2 linked regions of the Ovis aries genome follow. The protein of the gene in region 1 purifies or fractionates together with the protein of each later gene. This does not show direct contact. Links are inferred from orthologs where the notes say so. Each region holds a gene or a part of one and is shown on either strand. Other genes may lie near its edges.

Region 1 (3,817 bases):
TTCACAGTCCAACTCTCACATCCATACGTGACCACTGGAAAAACCATAGCCTTGACTAGACGGACTTTTGTTGGCAAAGTAATGTCTCTGCTTTTCAATATACTATCTAGGTTGATCATAACTTTCCTTCCAAGGAGTCAGCGTCTTTCAATTTCATGGCTGCAGTCACCATCTGCAGTGATTTTGGAGCCCCAAAATTAAAGTCTGACACTGTTTCCCCATCTATTTGCCATGAAGTGATGGGACCAGATGCCATGATCTTCGTTTTCTGAATGTTGAGCTTTAAGCCAACTTTTTCACTCTCCTCTTTCACTTTCATCAAGAGGCTTTTTAGTTCCTCTTCACTTTCTGCCATAAAGGTGGTGTCATCTGTATATCTGAGGTTATTGATATTTCTCCTGGCAATCTTGATTCCAGCTTGTGCTTTTTCCAGCCCAGTGTTTCTCATGATGTACTCTGCATATAAGTTAAATAAGCAGGGTGACAATATAGAGCCTTGACGTACTCCTTTTCCTATTTGGAACCAGTCTGTTGTTCCATGTCCAGTTCTAACTGTTGCTTGTGCTTTAGACCTGGTGCATTCACTGTCCGAGTCCTGGGATGTCTTTTTACCATTATCCTACAATGACCTCCTTAAATGGAATCACTTATTTCCAGGATTTACTGTCTTCTACTTTCTTAGTTTATCCTCTCATTATGTTGACCATGTTCTTTAGTAGCTTCCTCAGAAAGAATAAGAAGTAAATTTTATGGACTTTACACATCTCAAAAGAGTTTCTATTCTACTCATATTCTTTTTTTTTCCAATTTTATTTATTTCATTTTTGGCTGCACTAGGCCTTTGTTGCTTTGCATGGGCTTTCTCTGGTTGTGGTGGACTAATGCTGCTCTTCATTGCAGCGCGTGGGCTTCTCATTGTGGTAGCTTCTCTTGTTGCAGAGCACAGCCTCTAGGCACACAGGCTCAGTAGTTGCAGCTAGCAAGCCCTAGAGCATGGGCTCAGTGGTTGTGGCGCGTGAGCTTAGTTGCTCCACATGTGGAATCCTCCTGGACTAGGGATCAAACCCATGTCTCCTGCATTGGCAGGCAGATTCCCATCCCCCGGGCCCCAGGGAAGTCCCTATTCTACTCATATTCTTGATTCATTGTTTAGCTAAAAATCAGAATTGTAGGTTGAAAATAATTTTCTCATTTTTTAAGGCATTGTTTCCAGTACTGCTCTTTAAGTCCAGTACCAATTAAAATTTTCTGTCCTTCGTAAATGATGGGCTTCCCTTGTGGCTCAGCTGGTAAAGAATCCACCTGCAATTCGGGAGACCTGGGCTCAGTCCCTGGGTTGGGAAAATCCCCTGGAGAAGGGAAAGGCTACCCACTCCAGTATTCTGGCCTGGAAAATTCCATGGACGGTATAAGTTCATGGGGTCACCGAGAGTCAGACATGACTGAGCAACTTTCACTTTTCGTAAATGATGTTTTTTCCCTCTGGAATCTTTTAGAATCATCCCTTTTCCCCTGTGTTTTTGTTTGTATTTAATCTCACCATGATGAGGTTGACATGCATCATTTTTAGTCTGTTTGATGGGCTCTTACAATCTGAAAACTTATCTTTAGATCTGAGAAATTTTCTTACATTTATCATTTTCTTCCCTCCTCCTTCTTGATCTTCTTTTAAAAAATGTATGCAATTTATATTTGTCAAATATACCTAAATAAAGCAGGGAAGAAAAAGAATTCACCTAAAATACAACTACTACATTGGTTAATAATTTGGTGTGCTTCCATATTTTTCTCTCTGTAGCTCTTCATATCTGTGTAAAATGATTTTAAAAATATTAATATATTCATTTAAAAAGGCAGGTACATGTATAGTCATGCGTTTAGAAAAAGTGGAATGATATTAACCTTAGCAGGTTAGTTTGTGCCATCACCTAACTTATCCATGACTTAAAGCAGTAAGTTGTGACAGGGTCATATGGGTAAGTGTTAACCCATAAAAAGGGAAGGGGGTTTGCTTGTAGAGTGCTAGTTATAGACACTGCAGTGGGGTTCCTCTTCTTGACTAAGGATAAGAACTAGGAGGTCGAAATATATGATGGTCTAGGGAGCTGCCCTACTGTAGCCAGTTACTGAACGGTGGAACAACAACATGCATTTTTCCTGGTTCCTTTTATCTTTCAGTTTATATTTTTTTGAAGTGTAGTTCCTGTTGTTCAATTGCTAAGTCTTGTCTGACTCTTCATGACCCCATGGACTGCAGCATGCCAGGCCTCCTTGTCCCCCACTGTCTCCTGGAGTTTGCCCAAATTCATGTCCATTGCATCAGTGATGCCATCCAACCATCTCATCCTCTGTCAACCTCTTCTCCTTTTGCCTTGAAGCTTTCCCGGCATTGGGGTCTTTTCCAGTGAGTTGGCTTCTCACATCAGGTGGCCAAAGTATTGGAGTTTCATTTGTCCTTCCAATTAATATTCAGGGTTGATTTCCTTTAGGATTAACTGGATTGATGTTCTTGCAGTTCACTAGACTTTTAAGAGTCTTCTCCAGCACGCTTCGAAAACATCAGTTCTTTGGCACTTAGCCTTCTTTATGGTCCATCTCTCAAATCCATACATGGCTACTGCAAAACCATAGCTTTCACTGTATGGACCTTTGTCGGCAAAGTGATATCTCTGCTCTTTAATACACTGTCTAGTTGGTTCTCAAATAGAATTTTGGAATATAATCTTTTCATAAATTAAGGGCTGGTTGTATATAAATATTTTGTGATATACTACACATTTGGTTCTATTTTTATAATTGTAATTCCTTACTTCCCTCTCAAAGAGTTTTTCCTGATTAAGGATATTTTGGTAGCTGGCCCCTTTTAAAACCATTTTAAGAAGCTTTTGTAATGTATGATTTGTCAGTTGTGTTATTTCATTTGTTACTTTGAATTAAAAAAACAAAACAAAACAGGAAATGGTCCACTGCCTTGTCCAAAACAATATCAGAAGATAGCATTGGGGATAAAGTGATCAGAGAAAGAACAGTGGGAAGACGACTTGGGAATTCTTTTCATGTTCCTTCCCAGGTGCTTTTCAAAGCTGGTGTCGTTCACCTTCACCATAGTTTTCTGTTCATGTTTATGAGTACGATGAATCCATGCACGATTGTCTTAAATGTCAATTGATGAGCTTCTCTTTTTCTCCCTTGCAGCATTGCTATGGCAACAAAAGAAAATATGACTTCACAGAGAGGAATGTTGAAATCAATTCAGAGTAAAATGAACACTTTGGCTAGTATCCTTTTTGACGGTTTGAAATCTGTTTTTAGGGGGGAAAATCTCTGTGTGCTTCACCACTCTCTCCCTCCCCTGGGCAGATTGCCGTCAGTAGTGACAGTAGAGGTCATGTGTAATTCTGTATTGTGAATATGCCCTGCACTTGTACTTTGTGAAAGTTCATACTGTTTAGTGCCATTTCTAAAAGATAGCACACCAGAAGTTTCATACTAGTAGATCTCGAAAAAAAATGATAAATATAATTTCCAAGTTATTCACAAAACTATTTTGCATCTTAATAGCTCTTGAATCCACGTTAGAAGTCTACAGTGTACACTGTTTTTACACAGAGGTCATAAATTTTGTGCTTTTTCTTCTTTCTTTTTTCATTTTGGAGAATTAAGTCAGTGGCGTATGCTTAGAAAGGGAAGGAAGTAGCCATACATGTAAGTGCTGATCACTGCTGATTTCCATATTTTCATTTTGCACAAGCTGAACTCTAGTATAGATTTGCTGCTTGTTTGTTGTGACCTCTACCTTTTCTAGTTCTTCAGTTTC
Region 2 (3,917 bases), on another chromosome or scaffold:
GCAAATGAGTGAATCTATCATATGGATAGATCTGAGGTAAGTACTAGAAATATAAAGATGAATAAGTCATGTCTCATTTCTTCAAAGGCACTAACAATCTAGCAGGAGAGGTAGACAGACCACAAGGGGAGAAAGTTCCACAGCTCAGGTATTCCCCATAGCTTCCTACGAAGAGTTCAAAAAAAAAAAAAAAGTCACTTCTCACCTGCTGAAGTGTTAACTGCTACAAAACTGTAATATTAATTAAAAATTTTAAGAAAGCTAAATGTTGGTCATAAGAGACAGATCTGGTTTCAAATTTCTTAGCCTGTTTCCTAACCCATAAAAAGAAATAATACTGGTAATTACTTCAAAGGGTTGTTACAAAATCAAGTTAGATAATGCCTGTAAAGCACTTATATCGCCTGGCACACAATATGCACCAAAAATGTTAGCTGTTAATGTTATTAATGGCTGAATCCAACTATTACTTGAGCCTGATGCCTAACCAAGAGCTAAATCTTATGAATTCTATCGCCAAAGACACCTCTCCTATTCTTTCTTTCTTTTCATTTTCAGTTCCTAACTGGTATCTCCGATTCCAGTCTCTCCCTTCCAACTCGATTTACACATTTCTACAGAATTAAATCCAAACCCATTAGGTTAGCACTTAAAGCCCTTCATATCTGGGTCCCAGCTTAAACTTTCCAAGTCTACTTTGCACTACGTTCTAGAATCCACCACGCTAGCCAAATTAAACAACTCTACTTTTCTATACACAGCACATGCTTTCCCCTACCATGCCTTGTTCATTTAATTCCCTCCTTAAATGCCCTTCTCCTATTTACTGTAAAAAGTTCAAATCCTTTCCACCATCTTTCCAGCCAGACCTAACTCAAATGCCATAATGCCTTCCCTGGTCCCTCCCACATGAAAAAGATGTCTCTCCTGACTACCTATAACTTTATTATATCTCTTCTATAGCACCAAATCCTTTCAGTTCCTATGTATGCCAAAGGCTCCCTGCCAGTTCTTATACACAGTACATGCATGATACTCAAATAAATGCATACAGACTGAACATTTCACAAAGAGACATTAAAATTAGATTTGGTCTCAACAACAAATTTTTGACTTTGAATCAGAATTTTCTGATCTAGCCTGTATTACAGCTCCCTCACAAAAGGAAACTGGAACACAAAGTACTATACTTCCTAACCAGTGGTCATATATTTAAAAAATATTTTTATATTTTGGCTGCACCGTGCAGCATATGGGATCTTAGTTCCCCAACCAGGGTTTGAACCTGTGCCCCATGCAGTGGAAGCATGGAGTCTTAAATTCCCTGGACCACCAGGACAATCCCACCAGTGGTCATATAAATTTTTGTTTCAAATTTCTGGATTTCACAGATGACATAGTCTTCTTTCCACTTCCAAGGCGCCAAGACTCAAATGATTTCCATCAGAAACTTTCCCTCTCTCAAATTCTACATTACATATTAAATTTAAAAGCTAAGTGGTATTTTTCTTTAAAATATAGAACACAATTGTGATTCAGGACCAACTAGTTCTACCTATTAACAAGGTACAGCCAAGCTCACAAAAACACAATAATAAACAACAAGGATGATGATACCATTCCTTCCAAGTAGTTGCTGCTGCTGCTGACCTCCTGTTTATAAGTCTCTGAGCTGATCTTCAGGCACAAGATTTAACTCATCTACAGTCTCATTTAGACCCTAACAGTGGGGAAGCAGTTTTAAGACAAGCAATGACATTCTGAAATCCACCACCAATTCTACCATGTCTTACTTGCTATGTGATTGTGGCCATGTCCCTGAGCTTCTCTGTGTATCATGCTTGTTCAAAAGAGTAACTAGATGGGGAAGGAAAACAAAAGACTCATCAGCTTGAAATCCAAAAACACGCAAATCTTCTGCTACAAAAGACAAAATACTGTAAACTGAAGTGTCTTTGGTGAATTCTCTTTTATTAAAATAGAAGTCATCTGACCCCTTGAATACAAATCATTGTAACTGACTTCCAAACATTACAGGAAGAATTGTATTAAAGTCACCAAAACACATGCATTCTCCACTCTGCTTAATTGAAAGCAGCTGACTTTCAAGAAGCCAGAAGCTGAGCGGAATGTAAAGTCTAAACCAGTAAACAACTCCCGATCCAAACTGGTCAAAGAGAAGTGGGTGGAGGGAAGCAGATGACAGGAAAAACTCGGCTGACCGCTGCATCAGGTCGACTCACTCACTGCTCTGGAGCAAACACACCCTCCCACCCTGGGGCTGTCAGAACTGCTGTCTTAGCCCCAAAACACCTTAAGGGCAGAACTCCTGAGAAGAAACTCGAGCTTCAGTTGAGGCGCCGGACCCGCAGGGTGCCTGGGCCTGGCAGATTAGGGGATGGCAGCCCACCGTGTCCAGAGCGGAGCGCCCGAGACGGCCTCAGGTGTGGCTTTGGCAGTAGCCCCGGCTGGGCTCCGCCGTCCCGGCAGCCTCGTCAGGACGGCCCCCGCCCCCCTCAGCCGCCGCGGTACCCCGGCTCACTGGCTTGGCTGATCCGCTGGATGTTGCCGCTGCACGTCTGGATGATGCTGTTGAAGTCCCGGAGCGGGGGCCCCGAGGCCCCCGGGTTCCGGTACATGTCTAAGGGACCGTAGGACATGACGAGGAGCAGACAGCGACTCGACCTGCACCGCGCTCCTACCGGAAACAGCCGCCAGACCCGACCCGCAGGCTGACAGGGAAACCGGGAAGAGAAAGGGCGGGGACGGGATGAAGCTGCGTGCGCACTAGCCCCGCCCCCTCGCGACGCGCTCGCGACCGCCCCGGCTCGACCCGCTCCGCATTTGCGCAGGCGCCGCCGGAGCTGGCGGCTGAAAGGTAGCTTAGAGACGCGACGCCCTGGAGTTTGCGGGGCGGAGCGATGACGTCATGCCGTTGGGACTTGGATGAGAGAATCTGGGGTGGCGGTGTTGTTTATTGTCAGGGCACGGCGACAGAAGGCAAGAATTTTTCGATTAGCATAAAATTGTACCAGATGATCTCAGCCCTAACATCCTATCCTGGTCTATTCTGAGAACTTAGGCCCAAATATGGAGAATTCGACAACCTTGAAACCCAGATCCGTAAACCAAACTCCTGAGATTCCTCACTGTTTTCATCCCCTAGGGTTTTGGGAGGATTTTTTAAGCACTTTTATGGTTTACAGATCACTTTCATTTCTCTCTCCACCCCTCTTCTAGTCTGCGTGCTTAGTCGCTCAGTCGTGTTCGACTCTTTGCGAACCTATGGGCTGTAGCCCGCCAGGTTCCTCTTGTCTCTGGAAGTTTCCAGGCAGGAATATGGGAGTGAGTTGTCATTTCCTTCTCCAGGGGATCTTTCCTCACCCAGGGATAGAACCAGCGTCTCTTGTGTCTCCTGGATTAGCAGGCGGATACTTAATCAGTGCGCCACCTGGGAAGCCTAAACAATAAAATAATAATAGTAATGAAAAGATTTTTAAAGCACATATTATGTGTGACACACACACACACACCCCACTGCAGTTCAGTTATTCATAAGCTGTTTCACGCCAAGGGACGATGTCCTAACTATTCTTACCTTCAGACTAGATAACGGACCCTATGGACTGTAGACCACCACGCCCCTCCATCCGTGGGATTTTCCAGGCAAGAGTACTGGAGTGGGTTGCCATTTCCTTCTCCAGAGGATCTTCCCAACCTGGCTTTCCGGCATTGTAGGCAGATGCTTTACCATCTGAGCCACCAGGGAAGTCATAGATAATGGACAATCTATTTTTAAATATTGAAGTAAAGTAACAGAACAAGCATGATCATTTTCCCTATTTCAGGTGAGAAAGTTAATGCCACAGAGGTTAATTTGCTTTTCTGAGATTTGACTGCAAAACCCAAGCACTAAG

Evidence for each region.
Region 2: the proteins of GOSR1 (region 1) and STX12 purify together in Homo sapiens (affinity purification with mass spectrometry; 3 studies listed by BioGRID and IntAct, counting the BioPlex papers as one, with this or other methods). This does not show direct contact. The link is inferred for Ovis aries from reciprocal best matches to the Homo sapiens genes GOSR1 and STX12.

The regions. Positions count from the first base shown.
Region 1 is NC_056064.1:21,501,772-21,505,588, forward strand, and holds part of GOSR1 (Golgi SNAP receptor complex member 1), read left to right. Parts: intron 1-3,195; coding exon 3,196-3,409; 3' UTR 3,410-3,817. UniProt on the Homo sapiens protein: Involved in transport from the ER to the Golgi apparatus as well as in intra-Golgi transport. It belongs to a super-family of proteins called t-SNAREs or soluble NSF (N-ethylmaleimide-sensitive factor) attachment protein receptor.
Region 2 is NC_056055.1:239,319,034-239,322,950, forward strand, and holds the start of STX12 (syntaxin-12), read right to left. Parts: upstream 2,755-3,917; 5' UTR 2,661-2,754; coding exon 2,543-2,660; intron 1,855-2,542; exon of another isoform or gene 1,840-1,854; coding exon of another isoform or gene 1,794-1,839; intron 1-1,793. UniProt on the Homo sapiens protein: SNARE promoting fusion of transport vesicles with target membranes. Together with SNARE STX6, promotes movement of vesicles from endosomes to the cell membrane, and may therefore function in the endocytic recycling pathway.